5 linked regions of the Coturnix japonica genome follow. The protein of the gene in region 5 binds, or shares a complex with, the protein of the main gene of each other region. Links are inferred from orthologs where the notes say so. Each region holds a gene or a part of one and is shown on either strand. Other genes may lie near its edges. The genes, in order: SMC4, NCAPG2, SMC2, NCAPD3 and NCAPH2.

Region 1 (3,514 bases), on a different chromosome or scaffold from region 5:
ATGCTTCCATAAAGAATATGTTAACCAAATCATGTAGATATATTTGTTCTTCTATTGAACGGCTTTTGTATCTGTTTCCTGCTAGTAAAAGAACCTTTCACACAGCATGACTGATACAGTAAATCCCACAGGTGAGTTTTGATTGGTAACATCCATTTTTGCAGGGCAAAGAGAAAGAGCTGATGGAGTTTTGTAAGACGGTGAATGATGCGCGTTCAAAGATGGATGTAGCGCAGGCAGAACTCGATATCTACCTCACCCGCTATAACTCTGCTGTGTCTCAGCTAAACCAGGCAAAGGAGGCTCTGATGAATACTTCTGAAACTATTAAGCAAAGGAAGGCTGCTATTAAAGATATAGAAGTAAAGTTACCTGCTGCTGAACTGGAATTAAAGGAGGTGAGACCTAGCTTTCACACGTGGCATTTAACAACTACATTCAGATACTTAATTAACCACTGAAGTTAAGTATCTGATTTTAAGCTTATTTTGGTTTAAGAAAATATTAACATGAAGCATGGGAAATTAAATCCCATGCATCTCTACAAGGAAACCGGTTTAAATGTAATAATTAGATGTGGTAGAATAAATGAATAGCTGTTTCTGAGCCATTTGAACTTCACTTCATGCTCCCCCCTTGTAGAAAGGAAAATCCTGATACTTCTGTGTAAGCCTGATTCATACATGCAGAAGCTGTTGTATCTGTTTCCAAGTGTGCAAATAACAGCCATTGTGGTGAATGTTTTGCTACCTCAGTTTTCCTGTGGCTGCATTCACTGCTTACACTACCATGAATCCACGTCCTAGAGTAGAGAAGGTTTCCTGTGGCTGACACTGCTCTTGTACCCATTAGAAAGAGAAAAAGCTTGAGAAGCTTAAAGAAGAGGAACTGAGCACTCAGGATCTTGTTCGAAATCTCCGTCAAAAAGTAGAAGAAGCCAAAAGTTCTTTAGCACAGCACCGCAGTCGAGGAAAAGTGCTCGAGGCTCTGCTTGAGCAGAAGAGGTCGGGGAGTATTCCCGGAATACACGGGAGACTGGTAAGTTGTGAAAGGCTGTTGCAGATTTTGTCTTAAACTTCATGGGGGAGGAGCAGTTTTTCTGTGAATAGGTGAAAGGTAGAATAAGGTAAAGGTCTGAAGACGTTGCTGAAGTAGGGCTCTTTGTTCCTTTTTTCTTTCTGGAACTAAACAATGCATATATTGATATACATATATGTATACATGTATATTCTGCTGTTGTTTCTTTGCCCCTCTTGCTCCCGAAAGTATATATAATATATATAATCTGTTTCAGAACACTCAATGCATGTCTATTAGAAAAACTGAGATATAGGCAAATGTAAAGGATGTAGTTCAAGTGGCAGCACACAGCTGTCTGGCACCGCTTTGTTTTATGCTGTGTTACCACTTTCCAGAGGAAGGACTGAGGTTCAGATGTTCCAATAACCTGATACCATTTCTGAGCCATGTACAGGAATGCTCTGACCTGAGAGGTGCTATCAGCAAACCGATGGTAGAACCACACACGGAATAGACAAAATGATTTTGTAGGCCAGACTGCCTCACCGAAACACTGGCATATAAAATGTACCATTTATCTGCAGAAAGGAAATCCACTGCTACCACAGTGCTTTGTCAGAGTTACTGCTTTTGAAATTCTAAGTGCATAATTCATATTCTATTATGGAACTGAGTACAGGAGAAGGACATAAACAGCAGCGTGCAGGAGAAGTCGGGTGTGACCTTAATTCACAAAATTTAACTAAGGTTTAAGTTATTTGGCAAAAAAAAAAAAAAAAAGTGTTATAATTAGTTTTCATCTCATTGTCTGTAATGTTTTGTTGTGTCTCTCACCACCAAGACAAAATATTGATGCCCAGATAATGAGAGCATTTCTGCCTCCCCCTCTCCATTTCCCCTTCAATTCTTAGGGAGACTTGGGAGCTATCGATGAGAAGTATGACGTTGCTGTCTCATCATCTTGTGCTGCCCTGGACTACATCGTCGTTGATACAATCGATATTGCCCAGGAATGTGTGGAGTTCTTAAAGAAAACAGGAATTGGATCTGCCACGTTTATAGCCCTGGACAAAGTAAGTACTAGTGCTGCGGCAAAACAAATTACATTGTCGAGTTACCCTACGATGATACCTGTATACACACCAATATGTGGTACGTTAATATATTGCACTGTCTAATTATCAACATAGGTAAAGCTAAAATGCAAAATATTTAATTATAATGCAAGTAAGTGGAGATCCCTAAGAAAGGAAGTTTCAGCATTCTGAGAAGTTACATTTCACGAAAGAACATCTACATTTGCTTTAAAGCCTCAGTGTATCTCACATTATGGCATCATTTCATTACTCTGTCCAAAGGAACCTGCATTACTTCATCCGTTATTACCTGTTTTCCTGTAGATGGACGTATGGAAGAAACATCTCGCAAAAATCCCAACTCCTGAAAATGTGCCTCGGCTGATTGACCTGGTGAAAGTAGAAGATAAGACCTTCTCCCCAGCGTTTTACTTTGCGTTACGTGATACCCTGGTGGTTAAGAACTTGGATGATGCTACCAGGGTAGCATTCCAAAGAGATAAAAGGTGGAGGGTTGTAACGTTGAAAGGAGAAGTCATTGAGCAGTCAGGTATTGAAGCGTAAACTTCTGATGATGTGTTCAGCACTTCATAGGTGCTATCTAAGCAAAACAAAGCATGCTGACTTCTCTTCCTGTTTCATTGCTTTAGGAACAATGACTGGTGGTGGGACTAAAGTAATGAAGGGCAGAATGGGCTCCTCGGTTGCAATTGATGTTTCACCAGAAGAGGTTAGTGCATATTCCTAATTAAAAATGAAATTTCTTTAAAGTTTGTTATGTTTTGACAATTCATACACTGCTGATGTTCTCAGCAACCTCCATGTTCTGCCCAGCTAAAGAAAAGTCTCAAGTTGTTAAGAGCTCATAGACCATCCAGCATGTGAACGAGTGCTTGCTGTGTTTTGTAGTGGTGACACTGAGAGCGATCATGTTTCGTTTTTGTGTAGATCGACAAACTGGAATCTGAACTGCAGAGGGATTCCAAAAGAGCAGTACAGTGTGGAGAAGAAAAGTTACAGCTGGAAGAAGACATAACAAAGCTACAGAAAGATGTCTGGGAAATGAGAAGTACTTTAGAAAAGTACACAGCGACTATCCAGGTGAACAAGTCTCATTGAGGCAACGTCCAGTTTGTATATGTGTGTGCAGGAGAACAGCTCCTCAGCCTCAAGTCCATGTCAGCTTTGTCAGTACCACAGACCTTTCTTATGTATGGGATTCTAACACAGTTCTGTTTTCTGTAGAGTTTTTCTGAACAAGAAATTCGTCAAAAAGGCCAAGTTAAAGAACTTGAAGCAAATGTAACAGCTGCTGCTCCAGACAAAAACAAACAGAAGGAAATGGAGGAAGTCCTCAGTAGTTATAAAAAAGGTACTTATTGTGGAGAGGGATTATAGATAGAAACTGTATTCATGTT
Region 2 (4,310 bases), on a different chromosome or scaffold from region 5:
GATTTAGTGGAAAAATGTAACAGTGCCTGATAATGACAGTGATACTTAACACAACAATATAGAAATGTAATCTTTTAAAAACAAAGAAAAGTGAAAAGCCCAAGGCAAATCACAGAGAGAGAGCAGTGAAACCCCAGAGTTTTAGAACTGAATGAAACAAAGCAAGGAGAGAAGGGAAACAGGAAACTAAAGCAGGAGAAGGGGAAGAATAGAAGTACTGCTTGATTGAAGTTTAGCAGCAAAGACCACAATGTCAAAAAGGCAAACGGTGTATGCAACAACCAAGTGTTAAGAAAATCAGCATGTCTATAGCACTGTGTCATCTCAGATCCCACACCTTCACAGAATCACAGAATTGTAGGGGTTGGAAGGGACCTCTAGAGATCATCGAGTCCAACCCCCCTGCCAAAGCAGGCTCCCTACACCACATCGCACAGCTCGGTGTCCAGGCGGGTCTTGAATATCTCCAGGGAAGGAGACTCCACCACCTCCCTGGGCAGCCTGTTCCAGTGCTCCGTCACCCTCACTGTAAAGAAGTTCTTCCGCACATTTGTGCGGAACTTCCTATGCTGCACTTTCATCCCATTACCCCTAGTCCTATCCCCACGCATTAATGAAAAGAGACCAGCCTCGCCACCACGGCTCCCACACCTCAGGTATTTATAAACCTGGATCAAGTCCCCTCTCAGCCTTCTTTTCGCAAGGCTAAACAGACCCAGATCACTTAGTCTGTCCTCATAGGAGAGATGTTCCAGGCCCTTTATCATGTTTGTGGCCCTCAGCTGGACTCTTTCCAGACGATCCCTGTCTGTTTTGTACTGGCAGCCCAGAACTGGATACAGTACTCAAGATGAGGCCTCACCAGGGCAGAGTAGAGGGGGAGGATCACCTCCTTCAACCTGCTGGACATGCTCTTTTTAATACACCCCAGTATGCCACTCGCTTTTTTGGCTACAAGGGCACACTGCTGGCTCATAGTCAATCTGTCATCCACCAGGACGCCCAGGTCATTCTCTGCAGAGCTCCTCTCCAGCAGGTCTTCCCCCAGCCTGTACTGGTGCATGCAATTATCCTTGCAATGTGCAAGGTGTTACTGGCACATGCAATTACCTTGATCAACTACAATCCACTTGCAGGTGTCAGAGAAGCAACTTCTATGCCAGATATCCCACGCACCAATAGCAGGCTTTAGACTTTAATAGTCATACACACACATCATGGTTTACTTACAGAACTTTGAGTGAAACGCAAGAAATCCTCCACTGAGTTCTTAGACACAGCTTGTAAAAATGCTTCACGTTTCATTGTGCTCTTGTTTCCCCTTGCCTCATAAACAAAAAATAAGCAATAAAAGTATGTTTTACTTGCATGTTGGAGAAAAGTACCGTATCTCAAAGTGTTACCACTTCATGGTTACAGTGAATAACATACGAAAATACATTCTTTACCTACACGGTTATAATGGAATTATATGATTAAGGCTGTTAAGACCACATCCAGTCCAGTCACCAACCCACCCCCACCACGCCCACTGACCACATCCCTCAGTGCCACATCCACCCTCTTCTCTTATACCTCCAGGGATGATGACTCCACCACAGAATCACAGAATGACCCGGGTTGGAAGGGACCTCAAGGATCATGTAGTTCCAACCCCCCTGCCTGGCAGGGCCACCAAACATACACATTTACTAGATCAGGTTGCCCAGGGCCCCGTCCAACCTGGTCTTGAACACCTCCAAGGACGGGGCATCCACAACCTCCCTGGGCAGCCTGTTCCAGGGCCTAACCACTCTCCTAGTGAAGAACTTCCCCCTAACATCCAACCTAAATCTTCCCTCTTTTAACTTAAAATCATTTCCCCGTGTCCTGCTATTGTCAGCCCTTTCCAAGAGTTTACTCCCCTCCTGGGAGTAAGTTCCCTTCAGGTATTGAAAGGCTGCTCCCTGGGCAGCCTGCACCAGTGTCCAACTGCTCTTTTAGAGAAGTCTTTCTAGACATCCAACATGACCCTCCCCTGGCACAACTGAAGGCCATCACCTCTCAACCTATTGCTGTTACCTGAGAGCAGATGCTGACTCCAGCTCACCACAACCTCCTTTCAGGCAGCTGTAGAGAGCAATAAGGTTCCCCCTCAGCCTCCTCTTCAAATAAAAGATGCCCACCCGGGTACATTAGTTAACTAACTCAACACTGGCTAACTCACAGCTTGGCAGTGGCACTAAGCCACACTGCTCTCTCCTTTTTATTTTTAATTAAACAAGGCCTGAAAAGAAAGCTTGGAACATCGTAGCTGACCACTTCACCTTAAACAGAAATAGCATCACCAGCACGAACACCCTATTTACCCAGCCACCATTCCAAACAGACGCATTTCCTCACACGAAAAAGCATCTGGAAGGCAAAATATCGACCCCTTTTCCTCCTGTCAAACGAGGATAAGGTGGAATCAAGCCACTTTCTGGCTCTAAGCGCTTCATTTTGTACTACAGCCCATCACCCATCCGCGATCCCCCGTTCATCTGGGCGGGAATCCTGAGTTCCTGTTGTTCCACAGCTCTGACTCTGCAGAAAGCCGTCCCAAACACACTGCCCAGAAGGAGGTGACATGAGGAGGAGGCACACAGGCCTCTTACCTACCTGTGGCGTTCCCAAACACGCCTGCCTGTCTGTAAAGGAGGAATAAAGAAAGGCAGCGGCACCCGCCCGCCCTCTCTCTGAGGCCCCGCCGCCACGTTCGAATCGTCCCGCGGCGGCCGTTGGGCGCCAGTGCAGCCGAGTTCTCATCGCGCGAGAGTTGGGAGTGTCCGCTGTGGGCGGGAGCGATGCGCTCCCTCAGAGGCAGTGCGGTATATGAATAATGAGAGGATAAATATAGGTAAATAAACGGCGTTTTTACCTTTTGGCATGTGTCTGAATGGAGCCTTCGTGGCTGTGGCCAGGTGATATTTGCATCTCGATAAGGTGGTGTTTTGATAACTCAGAGTTTTATTCGTATTCCTACACTTTGCGTGGTTGGAATCAAAGTAAGCATAAGCAGCCTTCAAATCTAGTCGTGTTCTCCGTTCCACTCACAGATTGTAACGTTTCATGTCATACAGGCGACTTACTGACTTATGCCATTACTTTTTTTAAGCTTCTGAGTAAATTATTTCTGTATTTTTACAGTCTGAAGACTAAAAACTAAAGAATTGGCTTACTATATGCTTATTCCATACAATTAATGCTATTCCATATAGGTTTGAGATGTAACAGATGACTGACATTACTGAAAACAGGTAAAATATGGTTTCATTTCCTGAGTCAACAGCCAAGTGCACGTACAACTTCTGAAGTAACTTGGATTTAAAATAAGTAAGAGATTAAACACCCACAGGGGAATAGGTGACATTAATTATGATATGGATATGATGATGGAATCAGATTTACTCAAGGAAGGGACAGTATGACAGAAGGTGTTAGCAGACAAAAAGCTCATCTTGCCCAGCACTCCTCAGCTCTGCCTGAACCCAAAGAAGTACATCCCTCCTCACAGCGCTTTGCATGTAGGCAAAGACTCATCATCTTTCAAGTGTGGAAAAGGCCACTCAGTGAATACCAACATCAACCAGCCCACATCCAGAGAAAGGTCCCTGCAGAGGCAGATCTCTGACCTCTAAACCCCACCAGGTGGGGACAGCCAGATGTTGGCTTCCAGAAACCAAATACCACAAGAAGGGAATATTTTGCTACCCTGAAGAAAAGGGTCAGGCATTAAAGCATGTTTCAGATCCTGCCTTTGTTAAGCTTCTTCTTGCACTTAGTGCAAGAAGCCAGTGAAGCAGTTTGCTTGAAATAAGTTGCGTGAGCAATTATACTTGCTGAGGAGCAAAAGTACATAAAAAAAAAGTATGAAAACTGACATTTCTGCGTAGTGCTAACGTCTGATTTTTTGCATGCATTAAGAATCTTTGACATTTTTGATACAAACTGATTGATTTGTTTATCACGTCTCTTGTGTGGACTGAATATTTCATTAATACCTTGATTAGGCTTTAATTAAATGCCGCATTAGTCACCTGGTTACAGTTTATTTAGTCAGGCACCTCTCCATTTAGCAAATGAACTACAACATATTCTAGCTTACAATTCGTGTCGCATAGCAACCACAAAATGATTTTTTCACGGTCTTGAAGCTAAAAGTTGACACAGGTAACGACGGGCTGGTAACACTGATCCATTCTAAAGAGCCACATCTAAAAGCACAGAGGCAGAATAGGGTTGTGTTGGTTTTATTCAAGGATGGTGCTTGAGCTGCGAGCTGGTAATGA
Region 3 (3,514 bases), on a different chromosome or scaffold from region 5:
ATAAAGAAAGGTTAGCAATTGGTGTTTAAAATGAGTATGGGGGTTTTAATTTATTTTTTACTACTATAGCATGGTACACAATTGTAATTTTCCTTTTGTCTTTCTTTAACCAGGGGCGAATTACTAAAGTTCTAAATATGAAGCCAACGGAGGTGAGAGAACTATGACTTATTTATTTTTTTCTTTCTGGATAAGAAAGTGTTATAGAGGGATAACATGTTAAGCTTGCTTTAGGTTGAACCAACTTGACATGATAAAAATCATTAAAACTCTGTCAAATTATTTTATTCTAGATTCTATCTATGATTGAAGAAGCAGCGGGTACCAGGATGTATGAATGCAAGAAAATGACTGCCCAGAAGACCATAGAGAAGAAGGAAGCCAAACTGGATGAAATTCGAAGGGTTGGTACTATATGTGGGAGTGTGTGCTTTATTTGCTAAAGATAATGGATTACTAGCACAGGGTGGGTTTTTTTTTGTTTTTGTTTTTACTTGTAAACTATTTCCTTTCTTTATATGTTTCTCTATGTGCAGATATTAATGCTACATGTGTTTTAAAAATCTGAATACCAATGTTCTGGTTTGTGTTTCAGATCATAACTGAAGAGATCAGCCCAAGTCTAGAGAAACTGAAAGAGGTATGGAATATTTGGAGAAGTGGTAAGAGGCTTTAAAGTACTGAAGAAATACTTTCAAATAACTTGAACTGGTATGTGGAAGATAGGACGTGATATTTTTTCAGCCTTTTTAGAATCTTTTAGGTGATGTAAAATTTATCACCTATCCAAATATAGACAGTGTGGTTTGCAGGAATTACAAGATATATGGGAGAGGGACATAGGGAACAATAAGCAAATGAGAGAAACAGAAAACATAGAAGTTAAATTCTTGTCTTAGTTGTTAAACTTGCCTCAGGTGGAGTTTCTGTTATACAATCAACTGCACTAGTACAGCTTCATCTAGAATTTTCTTAAGTAGGTTTGCAGTGTACAATACTGAACGTTATATATTATATTCATATTACATATAATATTCTATAACAGTACTACCCTAATTTTCTTTCACCCAATTTTAACCCTTATTTTCTTTCAACCTATATCTTTTCAGGCACGTGCATCGTATCTAGAGTACCAAAAAATAACACGAGAAATGGAGAATTTAAAACGCGTCTGTGTGGCTTTTCAATATATCCATGCTGAAGAGATAAAAGATCAGACTACTAACGCTTTAAAGGAAGCAAATGAAAATAAGAAGAAAAATTTGGAATTAATGGCTGTGAATGAGGAGAAGGTAAAGGAACTTGCACAACAAATAGAAGATATGGAAAAGAAAAACAATAAGGTAAGTGAGAACCCAGATACGCTCACCTGAAAGTCTTAATAGAAGGAAGTATGTGAGAAGAAAATTATTTTTGTAGATGGTATGCACTTAGATTTTACTCCTTCTATGGTGAATTGTTTAGATTATACACCGCTTACTCAATAGTAGTCATTCCCTAAACGGGGGTGTCTATAAAGTTTTAATGTCTGAAATACTGTATTTCCAACTGCTGTAAATCACAGAATATCCCAAGCCAAGAGAAACCTTCAAGGATCAGTTTCCTATTCAGTAAATTCCCAAATAATATCAACAATTTTGCCAGGCATTGGAGTGAGACTGAGTGATTTAAGATGATAACACTTTTCCCTCATATTTCTACTCTGTGTATTCAGTGGAAAACTTTATCTGATTTTTTTTTTTAATTTTTTTTTTTTTTTTTTTTTTTTTGTCCATTTCAGATGAAATGCACTTGCAGTGGGAAATACAAAAATCACTAGTGACCTCAGATACAGAGGTAGAAAAAGTAGTTATGTACTGAGTATCCCACAGCATCTTTTCATTCTTAAGTGCAACTCCTACACTTCCCCTGCAAGGACAGAGTTTCTCAGTAACTACAGTTGGGCTCTAGCAGTGGCTTCAAATTAGTACGGACTTCTGTGGGAAGAGGTTTTAGCCCATTTGTTTTGGAGTCTCTATCTGCTTCATCAGACATGCATCTCCTATGTATAGCTATGATCAGAAAATGAAATCTTAAATATTGGATAACAGTATACATAAAATTTCCATTGTTTCTGAATTTAGGAATTTGGTGCTAAGTTACAGTCGCTGGAAGCTGCTCTTTCAGAACTCCAAAGAGTTGATGCTAAAGTCCGCAGTGATCTTGATCACAAGAAGAAAAACTTAAGTGGTGAAAAGAAAAGGCATAAAGAATTGACTAAAGTCATGCAGGAGGTAAGCCCTTTGTTTATGTTATTCTTTTTAAGCACTGATGTAGTTCGGTGTGCATTGGGACAGCAGGTTTTTATTATCTTTTCAAGGTTGATGGGAAGGAATAGCAACAGGAGGGCAGAAACAAATAATAAGTGGTGTTACTTGATTTGTATGGCACAGTTAGTAGACTGCCACTAAAAACAAATAAGATGTATTTATGAAGGAAGTCCAGCTCTGCTGTTGACAACTTTGTTTTAATTTTGGGAGGAGATCCCAACTGCGTTCAGGAAACCTGCTAAACTTAAAGGAAAAACATCTACTTCATGCTCTTGACATTTAATTCATTTCTCTTAAATAGGAACACTAAATACTTTACAGAGAGCTGCTTTTCCTGGTTGTGCAGTTATCATTTTTTCCTCTATTTCATTTTTCTCTGTACATGTTGTGTTGAGTGTCCTCAATGAGCAGGTGCACGCTTGAAGTATGTAAAAACAGGCTGTGAAAACAAAAAAGCTGACAAAAGGTTTTAAAATCTTGATCAGTGAAACTAATCATAGCTGTACATCATCTGATTTACCAACATAAACTTTAAGTTAATAGGGGTTGTTTTTTTGTTTGATTTTATGTATCATTATTGTTTTTTTGCTAAAGGAATTTAAAGCGATAACATCAAAGGAAAAGGAAATAAAGAGTATACAGGAAGATCTAAATGGTTTACAGGAGGAAAGTAAAAAAGGTGCAGAAGCTTTAGCCACAGCACAACAGCATTTTAATGGTGTATCTGCTGGCCTGTCTAGCAATGTCAGTGGTCGAGGAAGTTCTCTTGCTGACCAGATGATGACCTGCAAAAATGAAATTAGCAAAGCAGTAACAGAGGCTAAACAGGTAAGAGTCAGAGCTCTCTTGATGCACTGTTGGGAAAATTATAGAATATATATGCAAAGTATTTTGGCATAGGCCAAAAAATGTAAGGTTTTTTTAATTAAGCAGGCTGTTTAAAACAGGGAAGTCCTTGAGCCAACATAAGGAAAAGTTACAACATTGCCTTGAAGAAATACAGCAATTGGTATACAGATGACTGACAGTGTAAAATAGGAAGCTTAGAATAGGAAATTAAAGTATGTCTGTATTTAACTAGCAGGATCAAGTGTGTCTGAATAGGGAGTTTGGGAGGAATTACTCTATTACATTTTATGCTAGTCACATTACTTGAAACATGTCGCATCCTTCTTAAGATAGGAAACTTGCTGTGGTTGTTTTGA
Region 4 (3,514 bases), on a different chromosome or scaffold from region 5:
ACCAACATTTCAGCCATAAGAATTGGTGTTGTTCATTTCCTCACCTCGAGGAGTTCTGTCACAGACTGCAAGGCCTGTTTCCGCACAGAGACTGCGGGGTCCCGGCAACGGTCCTGAAGAGTGGACAAATCTTCTGCAGTGCAAGGGATTGCTTTGTGCTTCAGGATGTTTGTAAAAACCTGCAGGTCAAAAAACAGCATGAGTTCATCGGGAATACGAGCCAGGATGCATGGGGAAATTAATCAGAAATAGATCAATCCCTAATTTAAGTCAACAGGGAATAGAATGTATCGCAATGAAAGGGAAACATAACATTAGTAATTTCTAAGTACCGGGCAGAACTTGATACAGAATGCTAAGAGAACTTCTCAGTCCTTCAGATTTTATAAGAGAATTCTGCATTGAGTCAATGCCACAACTCCCCCTTGAAGCCAATGTTTCTCTTGTTATGACCTACATCTTTCACCTGCCAATAAGAGGGAAAAGAATTGAAAACCTCACAACAAAACAGTCAGAAACCCTTAACCTGAGGTGTTCTCATCCTGATTTATCCTGGAGGGGAAGAACTAAGGGAAAGAGGACTAACAGGGAGAAAGGCAGTCAACAACAGATCCGTATCCTATAAAACAGTGAAATTCACATTGAAGAAGATACCTTTCAAAGTTCATGACTTAATTAATTAAAATGAAGCAAGCAGAAAAGCAGTGCATCCCTCAAAATGATGCCAGATATAGCCCAAACTCTTGCTAACAAGGTAGAAACAAAGCACCTCTTATGCCCCAGTTTGTAAGGAAGTCGCTTAAGTTAAATACCTATTGACATTTGGAAAGAGGCTCTTTCTCTAAATGATGGAATAAGTGAATGCCAGCAAAAGAGTACTAGAATGTTATTTCTTCCTTGCATTATTTACTTATCAAGAACTAGCAAAAATGACCTTTTTAAGGACTGAATGCACTCGGTGGGAATAGCAAGAAGCTACAGCTGGGCAAACTTACATACAGTTCACTGCAGTACTACAGCTCAATTATTTGTTCCAATGGCATTCTGTGTAATCATGCAGAACAAGAAATCATGCAAAGAACACCATACCTGGAGAGCAGATTTCCTCACAGTGGTTTTCTCATCTCCAGCTCTCAGCCTCAGCAGGGCCATGATTTCTTTTCCTATCCAAACCCAGGATAAAAAGAAGTTATAACACCCACCCAGACCTCCTCTGTATGCTTTGCAGAGCTCAGTTTGTTGCCCAAGGTTTTCAGGAGCAAGAGATGAGGGCTGAAAGCACAACAACAACTAACTGAAAGAATGTGGGTTCTCCTTTGCAGCTGCCATTCTGACAAGGGGAAGAAAAACCCAAAGTTCTTCTATCTTGAAAATAAATCATAGGACATAACACAAAATCTGGTGATATACCAAATCATTTCATACACAGAGCAAAAAGGAATAATCTGTAACTCCCAGTTCTTTTATTTCTGTATATAAAAGGTATCAGGCTGCCTTCAAAGCTGGAAATTAAGTTTTCCTAAGGACATTTTGAACTTGCAAATACAGAAACCTGTTACTTTGAGAGATTCATCTGGAGATCTACCATGTTTCCATTAAGAGAAACAATTAGTCATTGGGAACCAATAAATATAGGGTCTAAAAGTAGGCTTTTTTTAATCAAATGAAGCTAAGGGATTTCAATCTGCATGACTAGTGCTTTCTTAGTAGGCAGGTAACTGCAACTGAGTCTTTCTCCTGAGAATAGCTTGACAGAAAAAGCACACAACCTTTTCTTTGCAAGACACTGCCAAGAGAACAGTCATGCTGCTATTGCAAAGGTAACCAAATCTGCTAAAGTGATCAACCTTGGCCAACTGTCATGGATTTCTATGCATAGTGGCATAGGGAAAAAAACAAACAAGCCCTGAGATCTAAATGGCTGAGAACTAGCAAGAGAAACTAGCAAGGGAATAGAGTGTTTATAGGCTGACAGGCACTGCATACTCTATAGAGTATACTTCACCCTGCAGATTATCCCTACCAGTCTTATCTTTGCCCTTGTGCATTTTGCAAGTTCTGAATATCCTCAGCAAAGATTTATTTTGCTTCTAAAAGACAAGCTGTTTGGTCTTCATAGAAGTGCAAAATTAGCACAGGCAGAAGCCAAACAAGTGTGTGCCAGACAGCTTTGCTAATGCACCTTGACTGGCTCTGAGAAGCCTGTTTTTTAGCTATCCTCTTGAGCCTCAGACAGCCCTTTTTGATCCAATCCTTTGCTTAATTTGTTTTGCCAAGTGCCAAGCGGCTCAGCTGGTGTATCAGATAACAAAACCAGGCATCCTCTGCCACACAGAGCCTGCAACTGAACAGGGAATACACAATACCTTCAGTGGCCTGAGGATATTCTATCTTAGAGAGCAGATTAATGAAATTTATCAGCAAAATGTTTTGAAAGAAAGCTTTCAATAGAGAAGATAGGAGCCTGGTTCATGAAGATATGGAGGGATCCCACATGAAGAGCAGCATGAGAAGTGTAACAAAGACACAGAGGCAGGATGCGAGCTAAGCAGTAAATTGAATTGTCAGCAGTTCAAGAGAGGTGAATAGCAACAACTGAGAGCGAAGACACAGACAGAGGCCTAAATGTGAGGACTCCACATTGAAGAGGAAGAGATTCAATGAAATATCACAGCCACGAAAGCCAACTTTTGTGCTGATTTCATGCCATTAAGGAATCAGATCTAGCACACTGACGTTGCAAATCAGTCCATTTAACCTCCCACTTTGCTTTTAACATCAGCCAATACCTGGTGCTGCTGAGAATTAAATGCTTCCCTGCATAACAGTGCCAGTCAAAGGTGCTGTGTTTTATGCAGCAAAAATACATCCATTCTTTGTGCACTGAAGCAAGAGGTTTAATTACCCTTAAATCTATGGAGCTACAAGTACTGCATCCCACATCAATTAGCATCCTTTTGGGAAAGTATAAATTATCTGCTTTGCAATGAGTATTGCTACCACATTAATACAAATGAACACCAGCATTTCACAATTAAATGTATTTCCCAAATTTAAGTGGAAATGGCATTTCCATACAGCAAGCACTTCCACCCCTTCACCACCTGTGTTTTTTAACAGCTCTCCAGAAAGATCTCTCTGCTCTTTGAGAAATGGTCAGCGAACAAGATTCAGAAAACATAATTGTAATCGAAGTTCTGAAGAGCTATCTGAAAGGCTGCTGTAACTGTGACATACCATTCACCATGGCAGCACTGCTGCTGTTTGTCAGCTCAATCGTTTTGAAGCTTGGTAAGGTCTTCAGCGGATGGTTGGACGTAGCTGGAAGAAAAGTTAAAAGCTTAAGAACTGAGCATACATTCACTCCACGTGATTCACCATTAAATAGAGAGCTGCACACATGTCCCACGTTTTATGGATACACATATTTTTAGAAAGCAGCACGCCAAGAAAAGCCTGAGACTTATCATAAGAGAATGACTCCGCACCTTCTTCACTGAGCATCAAACTGGCA
Region 5 (2,574 bases):
GCTCAGGATGGGGGGCAGCCCCCAAAGGGAAACTGCAGCCCCACAGGACTCTCGGGCAGCCCCCAAAAGGAAATTGCAGCCCCAGAGGGAAGCTACAGCCCCACAGGACTCTGTCTGGACGTGAGGCAGCCCCAAAGGGAAGCTACAACCCCATAGGGCTTAGAATGGGGGGCAGCCCCCCCCATAAGGAAACTGCAGCCCCAAAGAGCTCTGCCTGGACATGGGGCAGCCCCCAAAGGGAAACTGCAGCCCCACAGGACTCTGTCTGGACGTGGGGCAGCCCCAAAGGTCTCAGGATGGGGAGCAGCCCCCAAAGGGAAGCTACAGCCCCAAAGGAAAGCTGCAGCCCCTCAGGGCTCTGCCTGGACAGGGGGCAGCCCCCACAGGGAAGCTGCAGCCCCAAAAGGCTCTGCCTGCATGGGGGGCAGTCCCCATAGCAGCAAGAAGCTTCCCTATAACCCACTCCAGCCCATAGGGATGCTTTGTTCACGTCACCAAAAACGAGGCCGCCTTTACTAAAGTCGGGAGGTTTATTGCTGAGAGCTGTGGGGTGGTGGGGGCTGTACAGAGTGGAATAGGGGGGGGTTTATATGGGGTGAGGGGCTCATTCGCAGGCTGAGGGGGCCATGTAGGTGCGGAAGCGCTCGTGTGCCCGCTCTCTTGTGAGCAGCCGCAGCCGTACCGTGTCCACGGCCTCCTCCAGCCCCGGGGCCTGCGCCACCTCCACCGTGTAGTCGTTGGCCTGGGGAGAGGAGCAGGGGCTGCAGCAAAGCCCTACCCCCCATATCCAACCATCTTCCCCCCCCCTCACCCCCAGGGCCCCACACTCACCAGCTGCAATGAGGCCAGCATGTAGCGGCACACCTCGAAGGGGGGCAGCCCGGCCACCAGGCTGGCAAAGGACTGCCACTGCCCCAGGCTGCCGAATCGAGCTGCCAGCCTGTCCCCGTAGCTGTGGATGTCGAAGGCCGTACGCTCCTCCTGCATGACAGCGGGGTCAGTGCTGACCCTCTGCCTCCCCCATCCAGCCCCACTGTTGTTCCCCCTGCAGCTTTACCTGCTCCTGCAGCGCCGGCCCCATCTTCTCCTCCCAAAGGCGGATGTGTTGGGAGAGCTCCGTCTCCTGTACGTACCGCTGGGAGTTGGCGATGAACAGCTCCTGCAAGGACCAAGGGATGTGGAACAAGATGGGAACAAGGACAGTGTGGGGATGAGGGACACCTACAGCACCCGCTGTGCCCTCGCTGTCCCTGCCCTGAGCTCGGGCACAACACATACCACGTTCTTCCTCACCAGCTCCTCATAGCTCAGCGCATCCACGTCACAGGGAGCTGTGAGAGGTCAGTGTTATCAGTGTGATGGGATGGGGGGGAACTGCATGCCTGGCCCTGTGCCTCCAGGTGAGGACAGGCACATCTGTTCCCCATAGGTGGGACACACAGCTGCTCAGGATGCACTGCAGTGGTTGAAGGATGGGGTGCCCTCACAGCTCCCCCAGGGCTCACCCATGGCTTTCTCCACTAGATTCTCCACATCCTCCTCTTGGATGTCTTCATGCTCCACAAAGTCATCTGCAGGAAGGGCAGGCTGTGCTAAGGACCCCCATAGCTCCTGCAGCAGCTCAGCCCTCAGAGACTTCAGAGAGATCAGAGACTTCAGCAATACCTGCTGCTTCTCCATCCCCATCATCCCGCTCCGGTGCATTCAGCTCTTCCTCCTCTTCATGCTCTGGCCGTAGTAACAAGGGTGGCCCCTGGGGAAAAGCATTGAGTCCCCAGCCAGCGCGGCTCCCACCACCCTCCAACCCCATCTGCGTGCTCACCATCCTGCTCTGCAGCTTCCTCTGTGCCACCAGCCGCTCCTGCTGCTGCTTCCAGTACAGCGCCTCCAGATCTGCACAGACACAACGCAAAGCACAGGTCAGCACTGCCAACCTGCATCCCCTGATACAGAACGAGGCTTCCTGGGTTCCACAGTGTGGTTTTGGGGCTGCCTTAGCACCCATCCTTCTCTCTGCACCAACAAGCTGGGAGCTCCCCTGAATGCAGAAGAGGTTTTGCACAGCAAGAAGGGGGCAACGCTCTGCATAACAATGTTTAAAGGCTGCTTTTTGAATGAGGAACGGCTGCAGGACTGGAAGTCACAGGTTTCAGTGTTGTGAACATTAAACACGACCAATCCTCATCCATTTTAAGTTGTAAAACTGCTTATTCCTCCCACGTCCTTTGCTTCAGCCCTCACACTGCTCTATTAGAGCAACCACTGTCACCCCAATAATCTGTCACCCCAGATAAGGATTATTGGCCTCTTCCCAATGCAAACCCAACCCCAACAAGGGCTTCACAGCACAACTGCTGCACCTGGAGCCCTGCATATGGCTGCAGCCTGAACCCCAACTCAGCCCACCCTGCCCTTCTCACCAGCAAACGTCGGCCCTTTCCTCCTGGTTTTCCTGCAGTCAGCACCGTTGTTGTCTGAGAAGAACAGGATTGCATTTAGAAACCCCTACAGGTGCAGCCCATTGAGGAGAGCAGGGAGCAGCAGCCAGGTAAGGTCAGACTGTAACACTCACAG

The links.
Region 1: the proteins of NCAPH2 (region 5) and SMC4 are in contact, whole or in part, in a cryo-EM structure (PDB 9F5W), measured with the Homo sapiens proteins. The link is inferred for Coturnix japonica from reciprocal best matches to the Homo sapiens genes NCAPH2 and SMC4. Residues at the interface, in NP_689512.2 of Homo sapiens: Arg494, Ile495, Trp498, Glu499, Thr501, Val502, Leu505, Leu506, Gln509, Glu510, His512, Phe547, Cys550, Arg551, Met553, Leu554, Leu557, Gln558, Ala560, Asn561, Tyr563, Val565, Glu566, Ile567, Gln569, Leu573, Glu574, Ala576, Val577, Asp578; in NP_001002800.1 of Homo sapiens: Ile100, Leu101, Gly102, Pro103, Ile112, Gly113, Pro114, Ser117, Gln1151, Met1152, Leu1155, Phe1227, Lys1228, Ser1231, Ile1232, Phe1235, Tyr1236, Glu1239, Gln1240, Asn1253, Asn1254, Phe1256, Glu1257, Arg1261, Gly1264, Ile1265, Tyr1266, Lys1267, Thr1268, Tyr1269.
Region 2: the proteins of NCAPH2 (region 5) and NCAPG2 are in contact, whole or in part, in a cryo-EM structure (PDB 9F5W), measured with the Homo sapiens proteins. The link is inferred for Coturnix japonica from reciprocal best matches to the Homo sapiens genes NCAPH2 and NCAPG2. Residues at the interface, in NP_689512.2 of Homo sapiens: Pro316, Trp317, Gln318, Ser319, Leu320, Pro322, Phe323, Asp324, Ser325, Leu326, Glu327, Ser328, Lys329, Pro330, Phe331, Lys332, Lys333, Gly334, Arg335, Pro336, Tyr337, Ser338, Val339, Glu344, Gln360, Asp361, Phe362, Gln364, Trp365, Tyr366; in NP_001268861.1 of Homo sapiens: Lys248, Leu251, Gln252, His292, Ile294, His295, Leu296, Pro297, Arg299, Ser300, Val302, Lys340, Ala341, Arg342, Asn343, Ser344, Glu345, Val346, Pro388, Tyr389, Pro390, Arg393, Gly425, Glu426, Ala428, Phe429, Asp430, Thr431, Ser432, Arg437.
Region 3: the proteins of NCAPH2 (region 5) and SMC2 are in contact, whole or in part, in a cryo-EM structure (PDB 9F5W), measured with the Homo sapiens proteins. The link is inferred for Coturnix japonica from reciprocal best matches to the Homo sapiens genes NCAPH2 and SMC2. Residues at the interface, in NP_689512.2 of Homo sapiens: Glu46, Phe53, Ile54, Glu55, Leu58, Leu59, Gly62, Ser63, Ala64, Cys65, Val66, Lys69, Tyr73; in NP_001036015.1 of Homo sapiens: Leu93, Thr125, Gln128, Asp129, Cys132, Gly135, Leu136, Asn137, Met173, Tyr174, Lys177, Lys178.
Region 4: the proteins of NCAPH2 (region 5) and NCAPD3 are in contact, whole or in part, in a cryo-EM structure (PDB 9F5W), measured with the Homo sapiens proteins. The link is inferred for Coturnix japonica from reciprocal best matches to the Homo sapiens genes NCAPH2 and NCAPD3. Residues at the interface, in NP_689512.2 of Homo sapiens: Trp22, Ser68, Lys69, Glu72, Tyr75, Tyr79, Leu82, Asp83, Ser86, Ile144, Ile145, Pro146, Leu147, Leu148, Met150, Ala151, Leu152, Val153, Asp156, Glu159, Asn161, Asn162, Asn163, Pro164, Leu165, Tyr166, Ser167, Arg168, Gly170, Leu173; in NP_056076.1 of Homo sapiens: Arg589, Pro591, Met629, Glu680, Arg683, Tyr684, His690, Lys724, Glu793, Asp800, Gln803, Arg804, Arg807, Gln817, Leu820, Gln865, Leu866, Cys867, Pro868, Ala869, Arg870, Val871, Val918, Ile925, Lys929, Leu932, Gln933, His934, Ala956, Asn960.

What each region holds. Positions count from the first base shown.
Region 1 is NC_029524.1:19,680,978-19,684,491, reverse strand, and holds part of SMC4 (structural maintenance of chromosomes protein 4), read left to right. Parts: intron 1-164; coding exon 165-398; intron 399-852; coding exon 853-1,038; intron 1,039-1,931; coding exon 1,932-2,093; intron 2,094-2,420; coding exon 2,421-2,646; intron 2,647-2,746; coding exon 2,747-2,826; intron 2,827-3,044; coding exon 3,045-3,197; intron 3,198-3,341; coding exon 3,342-3,468; intron 3,469-3,514. UniProt on the Homo sapiens protein: Central component of the condensin complex, a complex required for conversion of interphase chromatin into mitotic-like condense chromosomes.
Region 2 is NC_029517.1:8,509,408-8,513,717, forward strand, and holds the start of NCAPG2 (condensin-2 complex subunit G2), read right to left. Parts: upstream 2,803-4,310; 5' UTR 2,788-2,802; coding exon 2,641-2,787; intron 1,327-2,640; coding exon 1,231-1,326; intron 1-1,230. UniProt on the Homo sapiens protein: Regulatory subunit of the condensin-2 complex, a complex which establishes mitotic chromosome architecture and is involved in physical rigidity of the chromatid axis.
Region 3 is NC_029547.1:59,016,059-59,019,572, reverse strand, and holds part of SMC2 (structural maintenance of chromosomes protein 2), read left to right. Parts: intron 1-113; coding exon 114-152; intron 153-293; coding exon 294-404; intron 405-595; coding exon 596-640; intron 641-1,109; coding exon 1,110-1,343; intron 1,344-2,123; coding exon 2,124-2,273; intron 2,274-2,903; coding exon 2,904-3,137; intron 3,138-3,514. UniProt on the Homo sapiens protein: Central component of the condensin complex, a complex required for conversion of interphase chromatin into mitotic-like condense chromosomes.
Region 4 is NC_029539.1:2,131,395-2,134,908, forward strand, and holds part of NCAPD3 (condensin-2 complex subunit D3), read right to left. Parts: coding exon 3,489-3,514; intron 3,322-3,488; coding exon 3,238-3,321; intron 1,164-3,237; coding exon 1,090-1,163; intron 180-1,089; coding exon 45-179; intron 1-44.
Region 5 is NC_029516.1:705,950-708,523, reverse strand, and holds the end of NCAPH2 (condensin-2 complex subunit H2), read right to left. Parts: coding exon 2,573-2,574; intron 2,475-2,572; coding exon 2,421-2,474; intron 2,191-2,420; exon of another isoform or gene 1,894-2,190; coding exon 1,666-1,893; exon of another isoform or gene 1,572-1,665; coding exon 1,506-1,571; exon of another isoform or gene 1,430-1,505; intron 1,341-1,429; exon of another isoform or gene 1,332-1,340; coding exon 1,279-1,331; exon of another isoform or gene 1,160-1,278; coding exon 1,058-1,159; exon of another isoform or gene 982-1,057; coding exon 832-981; exon of another isoform or gene 743-831; coding exon 605-742; 3' UTR 512-604; downstream 1-511. UniProt on the Homo sapiens protein: Regulatory subunit of the condensin-2 complex, a complex that seems to provide chromosomes with an additional level of organization and rigidity and in establishing mitotic chromosome architecture.